Xenopus tropicalis: one gene and its partners. The protein of the gene in region 5 purifies or fractionates together with the protein of the main gene of each other region. This does not show direct contact. Links are inferred from orthologs where the notes say so. Each region holds a gene or a part of one and is shown on either strand. Other genes may lie near its edges. The genes, in order: zup1, top3a, prpf19, rfwd3, rpa3 and smarcal1.

Region 1 (4,288 bases), on a different chromosome or scaffold from region 5:
GAAATCAAAAAGTAAAAAGGATGAGGAGCTCCTATTGCTTGCCAACTTACTGTTTTTATGCCACCATTTTTTTTTAAATAAGAAAAGGAAATTGTTCTTGTTTAAAGAGACCACCTTTTACCAGTGTTCCTTTCAAAAATAGTGTTGGACGAATGAGAGATCCCTTGAAAATCCAGTTTCATTACAAGTGGACTCCTGCATTTTTTTCAACTGCTGGCAAATAGCTTTATTGCTCCCCAACACAAGATTACCTGTATAGACACTTCACCAGCTCTTAGTTGGCTACGCTGAAATCAATTGGATTTGCCAGCTGGGAGATGGATTTAAATTGCTGTATGATATGCATTAAAGTTTAGCCAGTCATGTGATCTGGAGGAGAGACAGCTTGCAGTGTGCAGTTTCATCTTGAACATTAAAGGTGGTAGAGTTGTTTCTTAAAGAAGGACACTGAATGCCAGATACACATGCTTAAACAGGAAACATTTCCCATTGTATCCAATCATATTTTATTCTACAGCACCTCAGATCAGATTGTGTAGCATTTATGCTATCATGTCTAGTTGCATGATGAGGTTTTGCGAGACAAAGATCTGCCATGTAATTCAGGCCTTTAAAAAGTCAGGCCTATTGCACTTAACAATATTATCAGAGCTCAAGCTCAGCGCCCTCCCGCTCGGTTCCCACACTCCCCTCCAGTGGGCGCTGTTGTTACACCACGGCAGGGACTACAATTCCCATCATACCGTGAGACGACAAGCTGTTGTCAAGTCTCTGTAAAAAAAAACGCCTATCCCGGCGCTCTCTGGCAGTGACAATATGGCAGAACCTGAAACCAGAATGAGCCGCACAGCATCTCTGCAGAGGCTACGGCACAGCCATCGCTTAGCACCACTATGTGTATTGCCCATTACTTGCAAGAGCATTAGGGACAGTCTTGTAGAGAGGAAAGTTTGGCAGTTCATCAGTAACCCGTCACGCCTCAGTGTCAGAAATTTACTTTTATTGGTATTTGGTACTTTATTTGTCTAATAAACCTAACCCGGAAGTGATGACACCTATGCGCTGTGGCGCCTGGGTGACGTCACGAGTTTAGTTCTAAATTGAAATCCCTGTCAGTCTGGGAAACGAAAGTCGAGGATTGGGGTAAGGCGCTGCGGTTTACTTCTTTTGCCAATGTTCATAAAGACAATATATATACACACACACACACACACACATATCAGTTCTAGGACAAATATACCTGTTTGCACTACCACACTCTCCAACATATAGCATTGTTTACATTTTGCCTTTGCTATAATCATTTTGTTTATTCTAGACATTTGTCCTACTGAACATGCTATAGGCTATATATTTCTCTTTAAGACGGCATTTATGCACAAACATATTTATTTAGTATACCTATTAGCTAATAGCCTGTTTCTTCTTTTATCCAGTTTCCAGATGTGTGAATCCTTTTATGATTTGTGAAGTCTCTCCAGCTCAGTAAGGTGACATAAAACATGCTCATTTGTGACATCTGCACTCAGGAGGTGCACTCTGAAAATGACATGAAGAGCCATTTGCTGCTTGCTCACATGGAGCAGGATGCTTGTTGCCCTTTCTGCCCCCTGGCTGGATTATCGTATGATGAACTGAACTTCCATATTCACGCAGCCCATGAGGACATATTGGAGGTGTGGAGTGAGGATGAGCAAAATACATCTGAGGGCATCATTGATAACTCTGCTGGTCGTAGAGCTTTACAGGATTCCGACACTAGGGACCACGAAGCATTGATTGCAGACAAACCCAGGCTTTCTGTCCCTTCCCAACCCAATGAGAACAATCTTCAAAACAACCTAAATAATGAATGTCCACAATTCAGCAGAATTCATTGTCTTTCTACTTCTAAATCTTCTTCTGTTGCACAACCTACAAATACTATCATAGACCTTACCGCTGGTGCTGCTTGTTCTGAGCCTTCTGTATATGATGTTGACTCTGTTAGAGAAATTTGTGACAATACAAATTTTGATGTTCAGTCCCAGTCTGTTACCCCTCCACCTTCCTGTGACATGGACTTTGTTCCAGAGTGCCCTTTCTGTTGTGAAGTAAAAGCTTCTCTGGAAGAACTAGAATGTCATGTCAAGACTGAACATGCAGATCTTCTGGGAACACCTACTAAAGGTGGAAGGATTGATCTTTACATTCAATATTAAACTGTGTTTATTGCTATCATAAAAGTTTCATAGAAATATAAAACTGCATACCAAGGAAATTACTAAAAACATAGGTTATGGATTATTTATAATTTCTTATATGTATTAATTTGCATGACTATCTGTAAAAATGGCCCCTAATTGGAGCTCCCTATAGATCCTCACAGGTTCCTGTCTGTATTTCAGATGAGGGGTAGGTGTGTCCTAACTGTCCCTGCCAGAAGCACGGTAGTAGGGGAGTAGCCAATCGCAGTCCTGCAGTCACATAAGCAAAGACAGGCAGCAGTTCTCTATCAGGCCAGCCTAGCTGCTTATTGGTTCCTATCTTACAGTTCAGTGTGCTGAGTGCACCCCTGATCATCCATAGAATTCAGCCAGCAAGAAGTGGAACAGATGGGCGGGACTTGTAGGGTTTTTGGGGAATTTCTCAATAAATCCGTCCTAAACACAACTTTTGTTAGCACAATCCTTCTATATTTAGAGAAATATAATGCACTGGTACATTCTTAATTTTCACATGATTTGTCTCCTTTAATGTGGCAAGTATTTAAATATTAAATATACCTATAACGAAGATTTAAGATGGAGTGAAAGCCAAGTCTCCTGCTAGTTCATTTTGATACAGTGTATTTGTTTTTACCTAAAAAGCTTTGTCACCCATGTAATTTTGCTGTTGTCTTGCATTACCAGATGATTGCAGACAGTACGAGTGTCCATTGTGCACCCTTGTGTGTGCAAATAGTCAGATCTTAGAAGAGCACGTAAACCTACATTTGGAAGAAAGCAGCTGTGATGAAGGTGATCTTTTCATAAATTATTTCTGTTAAAGCATTTTTTTTTTTTATTAAACACATTGGTTAACTAAGTAGCAACAAACCAGTATAGAAATAGCATTAAAGGAAAAGTAACACTAAATTTTTTTTAAGTAAAAAAGCTGCCCTATCCTGCAAACCACTTTTAAATGCTTTTAACTAATTTTAAATGCTTTAATAGAAAATACCTGCTAAAACTTGGCTTCCTGTCAATTGAACTATGGCGATACGGTGAAGGAGGGAGCTGCATCCACTATGCGACGATCAATTGATCAAGCCTAGCCTGACTCCTTCCTATACAGAAAGAAGGCTAGGCTCGATCAATCGATCGTCGCATATTGGATGCAGCTCCTTCTTTCGCCGTATTGCCGTAGTTCAATTGACAGGAAGCCAAGTTTTAGCAGGTATTTTCTATTACAGCATTTAAAATACTAAGTGATTTGCAGGATAGGGCAGTTATTGGTGCAGGGTAGAATAGCTTTTTTACTTAAAAAAATTTAGAGTTACGTTTCCTTTAAAAGAAGTATATTGCTTTTTGTTTTAGTTTAATTGAAGATCATGATGTATGCATATATATTGTAGATATAGATTTGAACATGCACTAGACACATGTCATTAAGCAATCACATTTTGGAAAGATTGCAGGTGTTGCATGAATTCTGGACTTATACATGTCATCATTTCAAGTGTTTAAAAGCAATGGGTTCAGCACTGTTGTAGCTGTGTCAGTTTGCCATGATAATAAACTAGAACACATATTTTTAAGGTGCAGTGGGCGTATTTAAAAACACTAGCAAATATATAGCATTGAGTTTTCCTAGTCATATGTCATTGCCTTTATTTTAAGTACTGTAGATATTTCTTTATAGTTTATGGTTGGGCACAGAACTTTGTGTAAAGTTTTACTACAAGGTTGTTATAGTTCACAACTGTTGTCCAGTCAAACTTTGTATTTAAATTATCTGGATATAGGTTTTTCAGTAAGCAAATAAACAACTGTATGTATGTATGGACAGCTTGTTACCATAGAAATGCCATAAGAACAGTGCATGCCAATTTCTTACATGTTGTAGTTCTATTTGCATGGCTTCTTTCTTGCATTAGAGAAATCTTCTCCAGCACGGGCAACAAATTGTCCTAACTTCCCTTCCTAATAGAATTAATGAAAATGGAAAGCATATGTGACGCATATTTTTTTCTCACCGGCGATTTACATTAATGCCAGTGGGAAGGTAATGTTGGGAGCTTTGTCACCTGCACTTGATGTGGGGCCAG
Region 2 (3,500 bases), on a different chromosome or scaffold from region 5:
TGCCTTCTTCTTCCAACTCTTTCCAGCTTTCAAATGGGGGTCACTGACCCCGGCAGCCAAAAATCTATTGCTCCTCGAGGCTACAGTTTTATTGTTATTGTTACTTTTTATTTACTTATCTTTCTATTTAGCCCTCTCCTATACATATATCAGTCTCTTATTCAGACTACTCCCTGGTTGCTAAGGTCATTTGAACCCTAGCAACCAGATAAGTGCTGAATTTCTAAATTGGAGTGTTTCTGAACAAAAACTGAAATAATATTGAAAAAAAAGTACAAACAATAAAATACGAAGACCGATTGCAAATTGTCTTAGAATATTACTCTCTACATCCTACTAAAATTTAAGTAATCCCTTGACCCCCTTTTGAAAACTGCAAAGAGTCAGAAGGAGAAGGCAAATAATTAAAAACCCATAAATAATGAAGACCAATTGAAAAGTAGCTTAGATTAAGCCATTCTATAATACTAAAAGAGAACCTAAAGGTAAACCACCCCTTTAAGAATGATCACTGTGGACGCAGAGGCAGCATTATTAACACAAATATAGTTTAGTTGCCCTTTGCTGGAGTACTGTCTGTATCTGTTTGGGATACCAAGCTGGCTGCACCCATTAACTGCCTGATGCTTTGTGTTCTAGATTCATCAGTTATCCCCGCACAGAAACCAACATTTTCCCCAAGGACCTTAACCTGACATCTCTGGTTGAGCAGCAGACGCACGACCATCAGTGGGGAGGCTTCGCGCAGCGAATCTTGGAGAGGGGTGGGCCGACCCCACGGAACGGCAACAAGACAGATCAGGCTCACCCTCCCATCCATCCCACTAAATACACCAACAGTCTGCAGGTCAGCTCACATCTGCCCCTTTCCTTCATGGGGAAAAAGGTGGTTCACCTTTTAAATTAGCTTTCAGTATGCTATAGAACAGGGGTCCCCAACCTTTCTTACTCGTGAGCCACAGTCAAATGTAAAAAGACTTGGAGAGCAACACAAGCACCATAAAAGTTCATGGAGGAGCCAAATAAGGGCTGTGATTGGCTATTAGGGGCCTCTATGCACACTATCAGCTTACAGGGGATTTATTTGGCAGTAAATCTTGTTATTATTCAACCAAAACTTGCCCCCAAGTCAGGAATTCAAAAATAACTCCCTGGTTTGGGGGCACTGAAAGCAACATCCAAGGGGTTGGGGAGCAACATGTTGTCCTATTCCTAGCAGTTTTGCAATTGGTGTTTGTAGTTTATTTATTTTTTTTTTGTTTGTTATATAGGTTTTTGAATTATTTGCCTCCCCTCCCCTTTAAATGGGGGTCAAAAAAACTATTGCTCTTTAAACTTACAATGTTATTGATATTGTTTCTTTTTATCATTTACTTTCATTGAGTCCCCTTCCTATTCATATTCCAGTCTCTCATGTAACCCGCTGCCTGGTTGCTAAGGTATGCAAGACCCTAGCAACCAGGCAGCGGCTGAAATTCCAAATTGGAGAACTGCTGAACAAAAAAAAAAGCTAAATAACTAAATCCAAATTGCCTTATCGATGAATCAATGTCTTCATCTTCCTAAAACTTCAATTAAAGGTGAACTACCCCTTTAACACTTGCTCAATAAGTGGCAGATATGGGAAGGCAGCTCTCATCGTGACCCGTTGTTGTTTATAAACTAGTAAATACAATTGGTCCCTTTTTTTGGTTTCAGGGAAATGAACAGCGGATCTACGAGTTTATTGTGCGCCACTTCTTGGCATGTTGCTCCCAAGATGCACAGGGCCAGGAGACCACGGTGGAGATCGACATTGCTGCCGAGCGCTTTGTCGCTCATGGACTGATGATCATCGCTAGGAACTATCTAGATGTCTATCCCTATGATAAATGGAATACAAAGGTGATAGATGAAGGGAAACTTCACCCAAACACAACTATTAAAAAATAATTAAGCCTTTTCATGATATTTAATGTAATAATATGGTTTGGAACAGTTCCCTAAGCCCCGCCCCCTGTTCCCCTGCTGATCTGGTTGGCTACTTTGAGACTCAAATAAAATGTAACAGTAGTCGCCTGTCCTCAGCCTGCTTTCAGTCTGCATCCTCCCAATCCCACAATCCCCTGAACACGTGATGTCAATAAGGAAAGGAACATCCCAGTGCAATGCATTGTGGGTTATGTAGTTGCTGCATGCTGTCTGTAAGCTGTGGAGAAGTTGTTACAACTTGGAACATGAATGTTTTAGTCCCTCCTCCCCTGCCAGGATTGCAAATGATGCAGAAAGAGAAGAACTGTTTTGCAGCTGGATTTCAGCATATAAAATGGTATTTATTCCTACTTTGGGAAGGAACAGATTACAGTGATAGGGATATTAGGGGTTTCTGTATTGTGTGGGGCTCTTTAACAAATTTTGGTTCAGAAGCTGGAGTTTCCCTTTAATATTTTTATTAGACGCCTTCTGCTTAGCCATTATTCCTTTGTGTTTGTAATTTCATTTTCATCTATATTTTGCCCTTTGAATTAAGAAGCAATAACGGCATTGACGATGCTGTTGCTTGTGTTTCCCTAGATCATCCCCGTCTATGAGATGGGCACCCGCTTTCAGCCCAGCACGGTGGAGATGGTGGACGGGGAGACCAGCCCCCCGCAGCTTTTAACAGAAGCCGATCTCATTTCCCTGATGGAAAAGCATGGGATTGGTGAGTGAGAAGGTTATTTTGCCCCTATTTTTGCCATCGGTTTGGCTGTTTCGTGATTGTGTCTTGTCCAGTAGATCCTTAATATGACAGATAGGAACCAATCGTCTGAGCTTTTGTGCTTCCCCTGTAGGTACTGATGCCACCCACGCTGAGCACATTGAGACCATCAAGTCGCGCATGTATGTGGGTCTCACACCAGAGCAGAGGTTTCTTCCTGGGGAGCTTGGAATGGGGCTTGTGGAAGGTAAGAGACAGGCCAACTATGTGGTTATGTATGGGACAGTCTCTTGTACTTGGCCTAGTGCCGCCCCACCCTTATGCTGTTTATTTGTTCTTATTAGTTCCCATGATATTCTCAGTCCATCACTGCCCATGAATGTGCATCTCGTGGTTCTGTTCAGGCATTGGCTCGACACAGAACCTCAAGTGACTGACACAGGAAGTGTCTCATAACCTTTCTCTGCTTATTGCAGTTTTTTCAGCGATAGAACGGAGCAGAGAAGCATCAGGAGATGATTCCTGCATCAGTAACTTAAAGGGGTAGTTAACCTTTGAATAAACTATTAATATGTTACAGACTAGCCAGTTCTAAGCAAGCTTTCCATTGGTCTTTGTTTTTTATCTTTTAGAGCTTTTGAATTATTTTCCACCTTCTTCTTCTTCTCCTCAGCTTTTAAATAGGGGTCAGTGACCCCAGCATCCAAAATAAACTAGTTTGTTTTTTGTTACTTAATGTAACTTATTTTTCTATTCAGTCCGTCTCCTTTTCATATTTTATTATTACAATAATATTGTAATTGTAAATATACATCCAAAC
Region 3 (4,275 bases), on a different chromosome or scaffold from region 5:
TTGCAGAAGCTGCGGTGCTCCCGATAGACGCGAGTGTGACATCATGGGGAGAAGAAGAGCCGGGGGACGCAGCAAGAGGCAGCAGGCGGGTGGGGGGGGGAGCAGGGGGAGCCGCAGGGAGGATGTTGCGGGGGAGTTGAAGGATGTTGAGGAGGACGCTGGGAGTGAGCTGGAGGATACTGGGGGGGAACTGGAGGAAGCTAAGGGGGAGCTGGGGGACGCTGAATAGGATGTTGCGGGGGAGCTGGAGCATATTAGGGGGGAGCTGAAGGATGTTGGGGAGGATGCTGGGAGGGAGCTGGAAGCTGGAGGAAGCTAAGGGGGAGCTGGGGGATGCGGGGGAGCTGAAGGATGTTGGGGAGGATGCTGGGGGGAGCTAGAGGATACTGGGGGGAGCTGAAGGATGTTGGGGAGGAAGCTGGAGGATGCTAAGTGGGAGCTGGGGGATGCTGGGGAGGACATTGCGGGGGAGCTGGAGGATGTTGGGGAGGACGCTGGGGGGACCTGGAGGATACTAGGGGGAGCTGGAGGATGCTGGGGAAGATGCTGAGAGGGAGCTGGAGGATGCTGGGGAAGGTGCTGGGAGGGAGCTGGAGGATGCTAAGGGGGAGCTGGAGGATGCAGGGGAGGACGCTGGGAGGGAGCTGGAGGATGCTGGGGGGAGCTGGAGGATGCTGCAGTGGGGAGCAACCCATACTATGGGGACAATGGGGGAGGACCAGCAATGTTTAAGGGGGCCCTGGGCTGGCTAGCAATGTTTTAGGGTGTCCCTGCCCTGCCACCAATGCAAAACGTAACACCTGGCTACCAATGTCATGATATACAGGTGCTACAGTGCGTAATGAAATTCTTAGGGCTACATATGTGATAAATGTCATAAAATTATTGGGGCCACCATGCCTATCTTCTGGTGCACTTTGTGTGTGTTATGTTTTTCAGGTGTGGTTTTGTAAAATGGGCCTGGTTGGGGGGCGTGGCCATAAAGTGGGCGTGTCCTGAAATATTTGTCCCTCCTTCTACTTTTCAAATGTTGGGAGGTATTTCTGAGATAGATGTTTTAGACTGCTAACAGCAGGCTTTCGCCTAAATAACTTATCAGGTAGTCTGTCTATGCAAATCTTGTATGTATTCCGTTTACCCTCAGGTTGCCGACTCTAAAGGCAGCCTAAGAATTGATAAAGATAATAAATTAATATAAATAGCACCAAACATGCATATATGTGGGGAAGCCCTTAGATAGTAAACACAACTAAAGAAGAGACTGACACGTATGATAATCACAAAGCGCTGTGAAATACTTCAGTGCTGCCAGGAACTGCAGCTGTACACATCCGGCTACACTACGCCGAGTCTATCTCTTCTTTCATTGCTTTACGTAAAACGTCTAGCTGTAGAGCGGATGTAGAAACAAAGAAAACCGGAAGTACTTTGCCGACGCTGGTTACACGCTGTTTCCAAGTTTACCTCGGTAGAACGGAGATAGCCCGCCAAAGGGCCTGCCCAATTTAAGTCTGAAAACAGGGAGTCCTAGCTGAACAGCATCACTAAAAAGAAAACAACGCTATTTCTCGCCTAACCATATTGCTCAAAGAGATACCTGGAAGATGTCTTTGACATGTTATAGTGAGTGCAACATAAAACAGCAGTAGAATAGCACTACCGGATTCATAAAATGCTTGTATAAAGTTGCTGAGCATCGGCTGTGTGGATGCAACGTGTCATTTGATACGATATTTGGTATACAGGTCCTATATATAGAAATTCAATGCAAGTTATTTAATAGTAGAAAATATTTTTCCCTAAATTTGTGTTTATGTCAACAAAAGTTGTATTGTATCTGGAGCTTGCTAATTGTGTTAAGTTAATATTTTTTGTAATATCTTGATGTATGATTTGTATACATTGATGTATGCCCCAAAAAGTTGGCGCTCTCTTTGGGGTTAAGATTTTAATCACTACAAGGATTAGGTAGAGGAAGGCAGCTCAAAGATATATTTAATTATAGTTCACTTAAAAGTAATTGATATAGATAAGTGGTATTTTTTTTTTCCCTCAAGTTTGCTTTTTCACATTAGTATACTCAGAGTATCCAAATTAATTGTATTGACATTGATTCAGGAGCGCGGACAGGGTTTGTATATACATTGATGTATAGTCATATTTAAAGCATTCAGAAAATGCAAGCAGGGTTATTAGCTGGGGATAGCTCTGTTAGAAATATGGTATTGTGACCATGATTTAGAAATATAATGTAAGAGATTGTAATTTGTGTACCTTTGCTTGCATACAAAACATTTAATTCATTAATGTATAAAATGGTTAGACTCCAACTTTAATGAAAGGTACTAAATACTTAATGCTTTTGTTCCTACCACTTGAATTTTAGGACATAATTGTATTTGACAGTACATGTGTATTTAAAACCTATGTTTAGACTTATAAGCAATTATGCCATTTATAATCTAAACATGTTTATAAAAATTCACATTTTTCTCATTTGCCTGTAGTCAGTAATGAGGTCACAGATCGCCCCTGCATTTCCCCGGTGTCGGGTCATATTTTTGATCGCCGCCTTATTGAAAAGTATTTGGCTGAAAATGGGACAGATCCAGTAACAAATCAGCCCTTAAGTGAGGATCAGTTGATTGACATTAAAGGTCAGTAGAGCTGTGAAAACGTCTAATGCTATTTTTCTTTGTGTTCAGTTTAATGGTACAGGTATGGGATCCCTTATCCAGAAAGTTTCCCATAGACTCCATTATAAGCAAATAATTCTAATTTTTTCCTTTTTCTCTGTATTAATAAAACAGTGCCTTGTACTTGATATATTTAATCCTTATTGGAGCCAAAACTATCCTATTGGGTTTATTCAATATTTAAATTATTTTTAGTGGACTTTAGTTATGGAGATCCAAATTACGGAAAGATTCCTTATCCGGAAAATCCAAGGTCCCAAACATTCTGGATAACAGGTCCCATACCTGTATAGGGAATTTACTTGTCATTCACCTGTAACCCCCCCCCCCCCCCAAAAAAAAAATTAGCCATACCTAACACAAAAAAAAACCAAAAAACTATAATTTCTGTTGGGTCATTTAAAGGTATTATTTTACGTTTGCACAACGCACAGTAATGCTAATTGTAGCTAGAGATGGCACATTGCTTCCAAAGCCAAATTTTACATTTTAATTAGTGTATGTTCCCAAACTTCACTAAGTGAATACACATAATTTTACAGATTTTTAGAAGAAAAATAACTGAATTATGCATTAGTAAGCCAATTTCTTGCTTTTAATTAGCCTATAATATATGGATCCACATATTTTTGTATTGCACTTTTTGTACACAGTTCTATGAAATACTTTTACAAAACTCTTAATGTTATTTTGGTTGACTGTGTCAAAAGACTTAAAAAGGGGAACTTCTATATCGTGGTTGGGCCTTACATATAGGTCATATTACAGACTATTTAAATTTTGTCTTTATTTACCTGTCTTTGAGCTACTGTATGTAAAATGTAAACTGGTAACAAGTTTAGATATTTATAATACCTAGACCTGTCGCAAAAAAAAATTGATTAGTAGATCTACATAAGAATAAATAGATTGTGCTGTGTATCCATTTATACTCTAAATTACACATGAGTGGTCTAAACAGATAATAGAACAACATTTTTTAAGTTTAATTCTTCTTTAATCACAGCAAAGAATGGAGCGATGTTTTTACTTTTTCTTCAATTAGTTTATTGAAGGGTCTTTTATCCTGTTTCTTACAGTAGCCCATCCAATTCGTCCTAAACCACCTTCTGCAACCAGTATTCCAGCAATCCTGAAATCATTGCAAGATGAGTGGGTTAGTATCTGGATCCTTCACTTTGTGCTTTCTCTCCTTACTGTCTATAAAATGTGTTGGTGTAGATTAAAAAAAAAAAAAATAGAACATATGTATTGCACAGCTGATTATTAATAAATAGATTTACAAAGCGTAACTGTATTCATTAGCCATGTGGTAAAGTGTATTGTTAGTGTTTAATGTATCAGGTTTTTTACTTGTTTAAATTAGTAAAGGGTAAATCTGCTGGGTATATTGTTTTATTGTTTTATACATGTGTTCTTTGCCTCAGTATATATTGTTTTATACATGTGTTCTTTGCCTCAGCAGAGGCAAAATTATGGAAACCTAATAGAGGTTTTGATATATCTTTACTGTTTCCTGCAGATACATTATTGCATCATAAGTGAGAATATGAAAATTACTGAAATTATTTTGATATCA
Region 4 (2,618 bases), on a different chromosome or scaffold from region 5:
TTCAGGGATGGTACAACCAATAAGCCTGTTGCCAAACATTTTCTAGAGATGGGGCACAGGTTGCCCACCTTTCATTACATTGCAATTGATCATGTGCCGCCCCTTACAAGGGGTGGTGATCGGGCCAGGCTACTTCTCCAAAGAGAGGTGTTTTGGATTAAAAAACTAGGTACTTTGGCACCGGCAGGGTTAAATGAACACTGCTCTTTTCTATGTTTTCTAGAGCAAAGGTGAGGAGATGTATTGCTGAGTTTGCTACACTGGCTACAATATTTGCCAGTTTATGGTTAAGCATTTAATGTCTTTGTTTCCTTTTTTCTTTTCTGTATTTTCCCGTACCATCTATGGTTACATTTTCTGCATTATTTGTCAGTAGATAAGTATGAACTTTTTTAACTTGGTATTTCTTGCACTACATGCTCCCTTATGCATAACAATGACTTTGTTATGCTTTAGCCTACAGGGTTAACTATTCAGTCATGTGACTGGGATGGGAGTGTGGGGCTTGGGGGAGTGTCTAGAGGTTTTATCTATTTATTTGCTGATTTTAACTGTGTATGTGGTCTTGATGATGGTCTTAGGAGGAGACCGAAACGTTGGCCTGTTTTAACAGCATGTTTAAATAAAAGTAACGTTTTAATTTTTGAAAAAATATCCTGGTGTGCACCAAATTCTTGGACTTTATATATATATATATATATATATATATATATATATATATATATATATATATATATATATATATATATATATATATATATATATATATATATATATATATATATATATAAATTTTATTTTTTTTTGCCTTTCTAAATATGTGTAGTAAAAAGAAAAAATAAACATAGCCATTATATATTTACAGGTAAAACCCATAATTATGTACGTGGTGTTATGATGGAACTGACCAGTAACCGGCTGAGTGACTCTGAAAATGAGTACAGTTGTTCCTGTTACCCTGTTCAAACCTTTAATGCTGGTAGCACATGCAAGCTTCTCACCAAGAATGCCATATTTCAGAGCCCTGAGAGAGATGGCTCTATTTTGGTTTGTGCTGGTGATGAAGCTTCAAACTCTGCAATGGTAAGTACTGAATTGTAATTTTGGATATGGAATCCAATGTTGCATACAATAGACTTAATACTAAAGTTACACTCGCTATACTGTCCAGACCTGTATCTGCTGTTCTTTATTGGAATTAAAATATGTTGTCCACACAGTAAAATTGTTTAGTCCATACTGATACTGCAGCAATGGGGACCTTTTTTCCAGGATGCTTGGGACCTGGGGTTTTCTGTTTAAGGGATGTTCTGTAGTTTGGATCACAATAATTTGTCTGCTAAAAAAAAAAAAATAATCTAAATATGAAACCTTATAGGATTGTTTTGCCACCAATAAAGATTTATTATATCTTAGTTTATCTCATTTTTGAACATAGTTTTATGGGTAATACAATAGATTTATATATGTAACCATACAATGGATGTATTGTTCCCTTTCTGTTTGAAGTACAATTTTATCTTTATCTTTATCTTTTATCTTTTTTTTTTTTTTAAATACAGCTTTGGCATTCAGGAAATGGTACTCTTCTTCAGAAGCTTCAAGCTGACCAGCCTGTTTTAGATATCTGTCCCATGGAAGTAAATCAAAGCAGTATGCTGGCCACTTTAACAGAGAAAATGGTAAAAATCTATAAATGGGAGTAACATGTCCCTTCAAAAGATTATTTTTTGCTTATTTGGCTGGCACCATGGTAGCATTCCAAGTCTTCATACTGATCTTGCCTGCAGCATGACAGTGTTCCAGGCTTCTAACCAAAATGATCAGCTGAGATGCACTAATGTATGTACAGTAATCATATGCTGCTTTTCAACAGTTATATATTCAATTAAAACTAAGGTCTTGTCTCACAGCTTAAATCTGTGTGCAATAATCTAATTTTAAAGGACTTTGTTCTGTGAAATCCCTGTCCAGGGGTGTTCTTTAAAAATGTCTGTTTCGTATGTCTCTTGTATATATTTTCTTTGTAATTCTGTCACCATTTCCTTTTCCCCCTCTGTCCTAATAAAGAATTTTAATACCATTATGGTACAAAATAAGTAAAGTACTTGCACATCGTTACTATGTATCTGTTTTAATTATGACTTGCTCATGGTTTGAAGCAGATGAGAGATGAGATGAGACTCCACTAGAGCAAGCCCAAATAAATGTAAATGAAAACCTCTAGTTACTGCTTCATCTAGGTTGCAAAATGTATTTTGGAGCATACAGGCAAAATATAATCTGTATAGATTTAGTAAATTATATGTCTTCTTTGCCAAACAACCATTTATTAAAAGATAGTGCAAACTGCCAGAAAACGTAACAGCAGGTTGATGCTGCACTAGTCCAGAGTGTGTGCAAGCGTATATCCGTAAATATTGTCCTTTTACAAGAAGGTGTGGGGGTAAAAAACATAGCTCTGTCCATTCACTGGATGATGTAACGAAGCAAGAATGTGTGCCCTTGGTTTGTGTGTATACACAATGACTTGTATGAGCCAGGGAATGGCTGGTAGTACTTAAAATGACTGGTTGACTGAATGATTAGAATTATCCAGTGGCACAGACTACCTTTTA
Region 5 (3,999 bases):
TAAGGTTGTTTTCTCTGGAAAAGAGGCGCTTGGGAGGGGACATGATTACTCTGTACATTAGAGGGGATTATAGGCAGTTGGGGGATGTTCTTTTTTCCCATAAAAACAATCAAAGCACCAGAGGTCACCCCTTTAGATTAGAGGAACGGAGCTTCCATTTGAAGCAGCGTAGGTGGTTTTTCACGGTGAGGGCAGTGAGGTTATGGAATGCCCTTCCTAGTGATGTGGTAATGGCAGACTCTGTTAATGCCTTTAAGAGGGGCCTGGATGAGTTCTTGAACAATCAGAATATCCAAGGCTATTGTGATACTAATATCTACAGTTAGTACTAGTGGTTGTATTTATAGTTTATGTATGTGAGTGTATAGATTGGTAGGTGTGGGTTAGGTGTGCTGGGTTTACTTGGATGGGTTGAACTTGAAGGACACTGGTCTTTTTTCAACCCTATGTAACTATGTAACTATGTCTTCGGTTTTAGTTCTCTCTGTAAATGCAATTGCAATTGGTAGCAGGATCTGACTCTTGAAACAATGTAGCAGGGCAGCTGGCTTCTGCTTTGTTCTTTCGAAACTGAAAACCAGCAGTGCTGAGAATAGGGATAAACAGATACTACTTTCCATAGTAATTACAAATAAAATCTAAAGCATGAAACATTTCTTAAAGAGTCAGAGTGCCTTGAGTGCATACAATGGGTTTTTTGGCACCACCCCTTCAACCCCAAGGTAGTGACATTTTGTGAAATGTAAAAGGTAGTACAAGTTCTTACAAGCAGGACGCACAATCTATGACTTTAAGATCCACTTTGGCCAGAACAGAGTGTATTATATAACTATGCCAGCTACTTACATATTAATACAAAATTGGCCGTGAAAAGATTTCAGCAACTAATAGGCTATTTCAATAGACTGGTGTAAAAGTGGTACCGAGCACACACATTTGTATAGGGAAGGAATACATTTTATACTACAACATTCATTGAAATTGCAGGTGTTTAGTTGCTGACTTAGGCACATCTGCCACATACAATCATGGCGCATCCCTCCTCGGATTTCTTTGGGCGGGGCAATGTGTCAGCAGCACACTTTGCTGATTGGCCAGTTTCCCTGCGCTCTCTTTGGTAGTCATTGGTACTTCCGGAAGAGGTTTCCCGCCACAGCGCATCTTTCGCTAGGAAGGTTTATCTCTGTTATAAGTTCTGGTTACAATGGCGGATCTGTTTGATGTCCCCAAGGTCCGCATCAACACGAGCATGTTGGCTCAGAATGTGGGGAGGCCCGTATGCTTCGTTGGCAAGGTGGAAAAGGTAAGAGGTTTGCATTTCGCGTTGCGGACGAGCGTCATGCTTCATACCTATACATAATGGGGCTATCTCCTAGTACATGAACTATACTCCTGGTGTCCAACTATAACTATACTTCTGTAACAACTGCTCTTGTATTGTGCTGGGACTTGCAGTGTTGCAGTAGTTAAAGGGGAGTCACATGTATGCTACCTTCAAAAGTGATGTGAATAGTGAATATCTGCTGTGGTTTCATTATTCAGCCTTATGTTCAACAGCTGCCCAGCTTGGCATTTCAGCAGTTATCTAGTTGCCAGGATCCCATGTAACCCAAACTACCAGGCAGTGGTTGGAAGCAGAGACTGGAAGATGAATAGAGAGAAAAGCAATCACTGGTGTGACTTTAGAGGGAGCAGACCCAGTGGTTGCATGAGGGCCTAGACCACTGGGTCTGCTTCACAGGGTCTGTTTTCTCTATAGTTAACACCAAAAAATGTATATATTTTAAAGAAATTAAACTATAATGTACTGCTGCCCTGCACTGGTAAAAGTTTTGTGTTTGCTTCAGAAACATTACTAGAGTTTATATAAACCCTGGTGTGTAGCCATTCAAAAGAAGAAAAGGCACAGGTTATATAGCAGCTAACAGATAAACCCTGTAGAATACAATGGTGTCTTATCTGTTATCTGCTATGTAACCTGTGCCTTTTCTCCTTTTTTCCAGCTTGAATGGCTGCCCCCATGGCTACACAGCAGCTTAGTTATATAAACTATCGTAGGGTTCCTGAAGCAAACACAAAACTTTTACCAATGCAGGGCAACAGTACATTATATTTCCATTACTTTAAAACACTTTCATTTTGATGTAACTTCATGGTGAATGAACTATCCCTTTAAAGGAGATTGCCATTTGATTGCCAATAGATTAGTCACAATAGTGCAAGTTATAAAAAATATTTATTCTGCAGAAAGCTATACCATACCTGAGTAAACAGCCCTAGAGGCTCCCTCTGTTTAAGATAGCAGCTGCCATTTTAGCTTGGTCTCAGTAGCGTCCTGCTGCTGATAGCTCATATTACGCAGATGGGAGGGGGATCATATTCTGATGGGAGGGAGAGAGGAGCAAAATGAGCAGACTACTGCCTGTGCCCTGAAGCATTTTTCTAAGAGCAGGAAGTCTGATACTGAAGTACACAAAAGAAGACAAGAAATCCTGTGTTTCTTTAAAGCACCAAAGGTTCCCTGTTATTTTTTAGTAAGTCAATATATGGAACTTTAGTGTCCAAGGTTATTCTCTTACAAGATAACCATAAAGTATTCTTGTTTTGATGCTTTTGTTATTTCTTGATATTTACACAGGTTCACCCAACTGGGACATCCATTGTTGTATCAGATGGTGCAGGAAAAAATGCTACAGTTGAGCTTAATGAACCGGTATGTATAGCAGTGTGAATGAGCGAGGACATTTTGTACGCAAATAAGTCATTTACCCTTTAGATGCAGTAAATCATGGAATGTAGATCAGTGCTGCTGAAGTTAGTGGTCAGCACTGTTTCGGAGTACTTAGGTATTCAATACATAGTCTGTCAGTCAGTCCTGGGTATTCCTTACATGTGTTCAACTGGTGTTGCTTGAGCTGGTCCAAAATGTGCTTCATTTATTACCCTAACAATGGGGCAAGGTTGTTAATGGGCACACTGTACAGTATAGTTATAGGTGCCTGCAGGCAATTATTTTTACAGAATTAGCTCGCTATTTAAAAATTCATAATGAGACATTTTAGTGTACTCTTTGTATACTTGCTGTTAACTCACTAATTTGGGTATGCTACAGAAGTTATGTTCACTTAGTATTCCTAGTTCACCTGTAATTAAAAAAAAAAAAAAAAAAAGCAGTACCTAGACAATTGCAAACAAGCATTGTTCCAGAAAATGAACACTGACACCCACTCCGGGGGTCTCTAGAAATTATGGATTGGTTCCTCAGATTGACACAAAATACAGTGCTTTTACAGTTTTTTTTTTTTTTTTTGCAAGAACAAAGGTTATATTGTGGACATAATTTTTCTTCATAGAAATGTAAAAGATTCTAAATATATTTTGTTGAGCATGTCTAGTAAATAGGAGCATATTACTAGTTTGTGACACTTTCTCCCCTTGGTTGTTAAAATTAAGAAACAATTCACACTATTTTTCCTTATGTTGCAGCTGGAAGAGGAAATTTCTGGAATCATAGAAGTGATTGGAAAAGTTACACCAAAGGCAACAATTATGGGAGTATCTTATGTCCCATTTCGGGAAGATGTAAGCACTTTTGGTAAGTAAAAAGCTATTTGTCGCTATTAAAGAAAAGTCTTGGAGATCTCTCTCTAACATTGCTGTGCTGCCACCTAACTTGTCTTTTCTACGCTAGGATTCCCTGGGTAGGACAGGTAAGATTGGCAGTGTGGCACCTCTAAAATAGTAGAATTCACGTTTCTGTAATGCACAGTGCTTCCCATGGACATCAGCAGTTCATTGCAGCACCCATTTCAGCCCCCTGCTGCAGGTCTTCTCTTCACCTTGTGCACTGTACTGTACACCCGTACTGAACTTTACATCTGGTAAATAGGTATAAGAACTGTATTAGAGAAACTGGGAGGGTAGCAGGATTCTCTCTGGGGCATTTTTGCAAGGCGATTTGCCTGATAATTAAACAGCTGCCCTGCTGCTCTCCCATTT
Region 6 (3,500 bases), on a different chromosome or scaffold from region 5:
ACTCTCCCTGAAACATGAGTTGAGTAATTACTGTATTCTTATTCTTTCCATTTACTTGGCCTTTAATCGTGCAGTTTCGCGGTATCGAGGGAAGGGCGCTTGCTGCTGGCCGATGACATGGGCTTAGGGAAGACCATACAAGCCATCTGTATTGCTGCCTATTATAGAAAAGAGTGGCCCCTGCTTGTCGTGGCCCCTTCCTCTGTGAGGTTCACATGGGCCGAGGTAAGAGCCTGCTCTACATTCTGTGTAATTATCCCGTCCCGGCAGGCTGCTCGTTATATAAGTAATTAGTATATTGATTATACATATGAAGGCCCGTCAGTCAGTCAGTAACTCTGATGCAGATAATGTTGATATCGAATATCATTTGTGTAATTACAATTAGCCAACGGCACCTCGTTATGAGCCACTAAAGGGGAACACCAAGCAAATCTGGGGCTTTTAGCAACTTAAAAAGGAGAGAGTCCCTGTGTGGGAACTCATGGGGCCCCTGCAGCCTCCTAGGTGTATTTCCTGGTATTTCCAGCAGCTCTGCCTTGCTTTATGGCTGGGATTCTAGATCTACACTCAGAATAAAGACATTGGGCACATTCACTTACCCAGACACATTTTCGAGCATAATCACCATGTTTTTTTCCCCACAATCCACTATTTTCCCCCACAATTCCATTGTCAATGCAGATGCGATTGCGCTGTGTCTACTGCAGTTACGTCTGATTTGCCAAATCGCAAATATAGCACAATTGCGCTATTTGCCCTGTAAAGGGCAACCCTAGGGCTCATATAGATAAGCGACTGTGGAGCTGACAGGAATTGAACCCAGGAATTCCAGTGAGTCAGGCACAGAGAGCTAGCGGCTGATTGGTTTATCTGTGCATTAGGATGAGAGACTGTCTGCCACAAGTGCTGCCCTCTCCCCACCCAGCTGGCTGCTGCAGACCCCAAGGGAGGCAGGAGGGGGAAGATGAGGTAACCTGACCCGCAGAGCTCACAATCCATGCTTTGATTGCATGACAGGATGGCGCCCAGCTCTGCAGCTGGGATCATTTCTCTGCCCGGTGTGTGGGAAAGAAGTACCGGCAGTGCCAGCTCAGCAGGGGCAGTGCGGGGGTTAAAATGAATGCAGGGCCCCTGGGGTCCAGTTTCCCGGCTGTAGTGGCTACAGGTTGGCACAGTTGGCATAGAGGCGAGTGCCCTTTAAGGAAACCTTATATGTTTGTAGCTGCTGTGCCCTCTGCTCTCCAGGTGGGGGAGCTCCTGCTCCAGTTCTAATAAAGCATTCCCCTTGGCTAGCTACAGTACAACTATAACTGCCAGCACCTTTACTACCTGAGATTATCTATTTGTGTCTTTTTATCCCCCCACCCCAATTCATTGTTCCCCTGTTACTCCCCGCAGGCCTTCCAGCGGTGGCTTCCCTCCATCAGGCCGGAAAGCGTTAATGTGATCGTGACGGGGCGGGACAGCCAGAGCGCCAGTCTCATCAACATCGTTAGTTTTGACCTTCTGGGGAAGATGGACAAGCAGATTGCCGCGACTTTCCAAGTCATTATTATAGTGAGTAGCGGCGTTAGGTCCCGCCCCTCTGTGAAATGTCACTGGCCAGTAGTGCCAGGGAAGATTGAACCCTTTGTGAGCTCCCGCCCCCTAAAGCTCAAATGTGGGTGGCATGGAATGTGCTGCAGGGTAATATGGGGGGGCAGGTACTGACACCGGGGCCTTAGGAACAAATAGTGGGTTGGATTCTGCCAGTTGCAAATGCTTATTTATCCCACAGGAAATGCCCCGCCCCAGGGTATAAATTTATAGCTTCAGTCTGTAGAGCCCCCAAAGGGGATGTGGCCCTGTAGCAGTGTAGCCACACACTGTGTGTATATAATATATATAGAGAGAGAGTGGATATTGGGGCAGGAATACAGCGACAATGGAGAGAAAAGTACATTATTTATTTATTCATTTTAAGGATGAATCTCATTTCCTGAAGAACGTGAAAACTGCTCGCTGCAAGGCTGCCATGCCGCTACTGAAGGTACCTCCCACCCCCTACCTTTCTACCCTCCCCCACCTCAGTCTGATCCCGCCCCCCATGCACTGGCCCCACCCACTCTGTACCATGTGTTTCCCTGCCTTTACTATACATTGCCTTTCTGAGATTTCTGTAGGGTTCCCTCTATCCTTTTTGTTCCTTTCCAGCCACCGTAGCTTTTCCTTTTCTTCTTCCCTTAAGGTGGCCATACACCTTCAGATCCGCTCGCTTGGCGATGTCGCTAAGCGAGCGGATCTTCTCCCGATATCCCCCACCTACAGGTGGGCGATATCGGGAGAATCCAGGCTAATTTGGATTCTGGGGCCAAACGATCGAATTATAACGACAGGTATAGGCATGTTGTTCCTGCCCCTACAGGCCTACGGGCCGATAAGCTGCCAAATCGGTCTAAGGGACTGATATCGGCAGCTACAATTGGCCCGTGTATGGGGACCTTTAGAAGGGGGGGCTGAATCTGATGGGCAGTTGCCTTTTTTATTAGCCCAAATGATCTATGGAATGTAATATTCTTGCGCCTTTTCCCACCACACAGAGTGCTAAGAGGGTGATGCTACTGTCGGGGACCCCCGCCATGTCCAGGCCGGCCGAGCTCTACACACAGATTGCTGCCGTCAGACCCAGTTTCTTCCCTCGGTTCCACGACTTCGGAATCCGTTACTGCGACGCCAAGCAGGTGAGTTATGCGCGCGGGGGGGGGGGGGGGGGGGCTTACGTTGGGTCCCGTAAATACTAATATCACAGACTGATAATTCACTCTCATTGGCAGATGCCCTGGGGGTGGGATTATTCGGGATCCTCTAATCTAAACGAGCTGAAACTGCTGCTGGAAGAGTCGATAATGATCAGACGGCTGAAATCCGAGGTCCTGTCCCAGCTTCCCGCTAAGCAGCGCAAAATGGTTGTGGTGGCCCCCGAGGGCATTACTGCAAAGACCAAGGCGGCCCTGGCGGCGGCGGCAAAGGAAATGGCCAAGGGATTTAAGAGCGTGAGTAGGCTGGCTCCCTGATTGGTGGGAATGTCTCTTTTATCCTGAGCCAGAGGGGCACAGAAAGAGGGGATTTAAAGGGGAAATATGCACTATTTTTCCATTACAGATAGCGAAACATAGATTGTAGTTTTGTTTTTTCCCTTTGTCCTTATCCTCTCAAGTGAATATTGAGTTACAGGCCCCCCCGGCCCCTCTATATTATCAACATTGAAACCACGTATTAATGTAACTATGTCCCCCATTACCGTCCCGGCTTGGTGGCGCCCCCACCCCTCGCTGTTAAAGTGGGAGGAGTTCACTGTGTAACCAGGAGGGAGAATTTGACCAAACGTTTCCCCCTCCACCCGTTGCTCTGTAGAACCAAGTAAGGCAGGATTAAAGGCCAAGTCAAACTAAAAATCAATCTCAAGTTCACTGTTTGGGTCTTTATCTTCGTCTCAATTGACAGAAAGTTCAAGAGAA

What was found.
Region 1: the proteins of rpa3 (region 5) and zup1 purify together in Homo sapiens (affinity purification with western blotting; 3 studies listed by BioGRID, with this or other methods). This does not show direct contact. The link is inferred for Xenopus tropicalis from reciprocal best matches to the Homo sapiens genes RPA3 and ZUP1.
Region 2: the proteins of rpa3 (region 5) and top3a purify together in Homo sapiens (affinity purification with mass spectrometry; 3 studies listed by BioGRID and IntAct, with this or other methods). This does not show direct contact. The link is inferred for Xenopus tropicalis from reciprocal best matches to the Homo sapiens genes RPA3 and TOP3A.
Region 3: the proteins of rpa3 (region 5) and prpf19 purify together in Homo sapiens (affinity purification with western blotting; 3 studies listed by BioGRID, with this or other methods). This does not show direct contact. The link is inferred for Xenopus tropicalis from reciprocal best matches to the Homo sapiens genes RPA3 and PRPF19.
Region 4: the proteins of rpa3 (region 5) and rfwd3 purify together in Homo sapiens (affinity purification with mass spectrometry; 5 studies listed by BioGRID and IntAct, with this or other methods). This does not show direct contact. The link is inferred for Xenopus tropicalis from reciprocal best matches to the Homo sapiens genes RPA3 and RFWD3.
Region 6: the proteins of rpa3 (region 5) and smarcal1 purify together in Homo sapiens (affinity purification with mass spectrometry; 3 studies listed by BioGRID and IntAct, with this or other methods). This does not show direct contact. The link is inferred for Xenopus tropicalis from reciprocal best matches to the Homo sapiens genes RPA3 and SMARCAL1.

The regions. Positions count from the first base shown.
Region 1 is NC_030681.2:74,824,352-74,828,639, forward strand, and holds the start of zup1 (zinc finger with UFM1-specific peptidase domain protein), read left to right. Parts: upstream 1-1,488; 5' UTR 1,489-1,502; coding exon 1,503-2,169; intron 2,170-2,891; coding exon 2,892-2,999; intron 3,000-4,288. UniProt on the Homo sapiens protein: Deubiquitinase with endodeubiquitinase activity that specifically interacts with and cleaves 'Lys-63'-linked long polyubiquitin chains. Shows only weak activity against 'Lys-11' and 'Lys-48'-linked chains.
Region 2 is NC_030685.2:15,952,857-15,956,356, forward strand, and holds part of top3a (DNA topoisomerase 3-alpha), read left to right. Parts: intron 1-639; coding exon 640-847; intron 848-1,698; coding exon 1,699-1,884; intron 1,885-2,553; coding exon 2,554-2,683; intron 2,684-2,813; coding exon 2,814-2,927; intron 2,928-3,500. UniProt on the Homo sapiens protein: Releases the supercoiling and torsional tension of DNA introduced during the DNA replication and transcription by transiently cleaving and rejoining one strand of the DNA duplex.
Region 3 is NC_030683.2:60,626,426-60,630,700, reverse strand, and holds the start of prpf19 (pre-mRNA-processing factor 19), read left to right. Parts: upstream 1-1,475; 5' UTR 1,476-1,604; coding exon 1,605-1,623; intron 1,624-2,507; coding exon 2,508-2,657; intron 2,658-3,775; coding exon 3,776-3,852; intron 3,853-4,275. UniProt on the Homo sapiens protein: Ubiquitin-protein ligase which is a core component of several complexes mainly involved pre-mRNA splicing and DNA repair. Required for pre-mRNA splicing as component of the spliceosome.
Region 4 is NC_030680.2:74,776,487-74,779,104, forward strand, and holds the end of rfwd3 (E3 ubiquitin-protein ligase RFWD3), read left to right. Parts: intron 1-865; coding exon 866-1,083; intron 1,084-1,562; coding exon 1,563-1,706; 3' UTR 1,707-2,118; downstream 2,119-2,618. UniProt on the Homo sapiens protein: E3 ubiquitin-protein ligase required for the repair of DNA interstrand cross-links (ICL) in response to DNA damage. Plays a key role in RPA-mediated DNA damage signaling and repair.
Region 5 is NC_030682.2:34,387,485-34,391,483, reverse strand, and holds the start of rpa3 (replication protein A 14 kDa subunit), read left to right. Parts: upstream 1-1,199; 5' UTR 1,200-1,204; coding exon 1,205-1,303; intron 1,304-2,638; coding exon 2,639-2,713; intron 2,714-3,486; coding exon 3,487-3,595; intron 3,596-3,999. UniProt on the Homo sapiens protein: As part of the heterotrimeric replication protein A complex (RPA/RP-A), binds and stabilizes single-stranded DNA intermediates that form during DNA replication or upon DNA stress.
Region 6 is NC_030685.2:86,335,847-86,339,346, reverse strand, and holds part of smarcal1 (SWI/SNF-related matrix-associated actin-dependent regulator of chromatin subfamily A-like protein 1), read left to right. Parts: intron 1-74; coding exon 75-225; intron 226-1,401; coding exon 1,402-1,560; intron 1,561-1,966; coding exon 1,967-2,032; intron 2,033-2,582; coding exon 2,583-2,723; intron 2,724-2,816; coding exon 2,817-3,035; intron 3,036-3,486; coding exon 3,487-3,500. UniProt on the Homo sapiens protein: ATP-dependent annealing helicase that binds selectively to fork DNA relative to ssDNA or dsDNA and catalyzes the rewinding of the stably unwound DNA. Rewinds single-stranded DNA bubbles that are stably bound by replication protein A (RPA).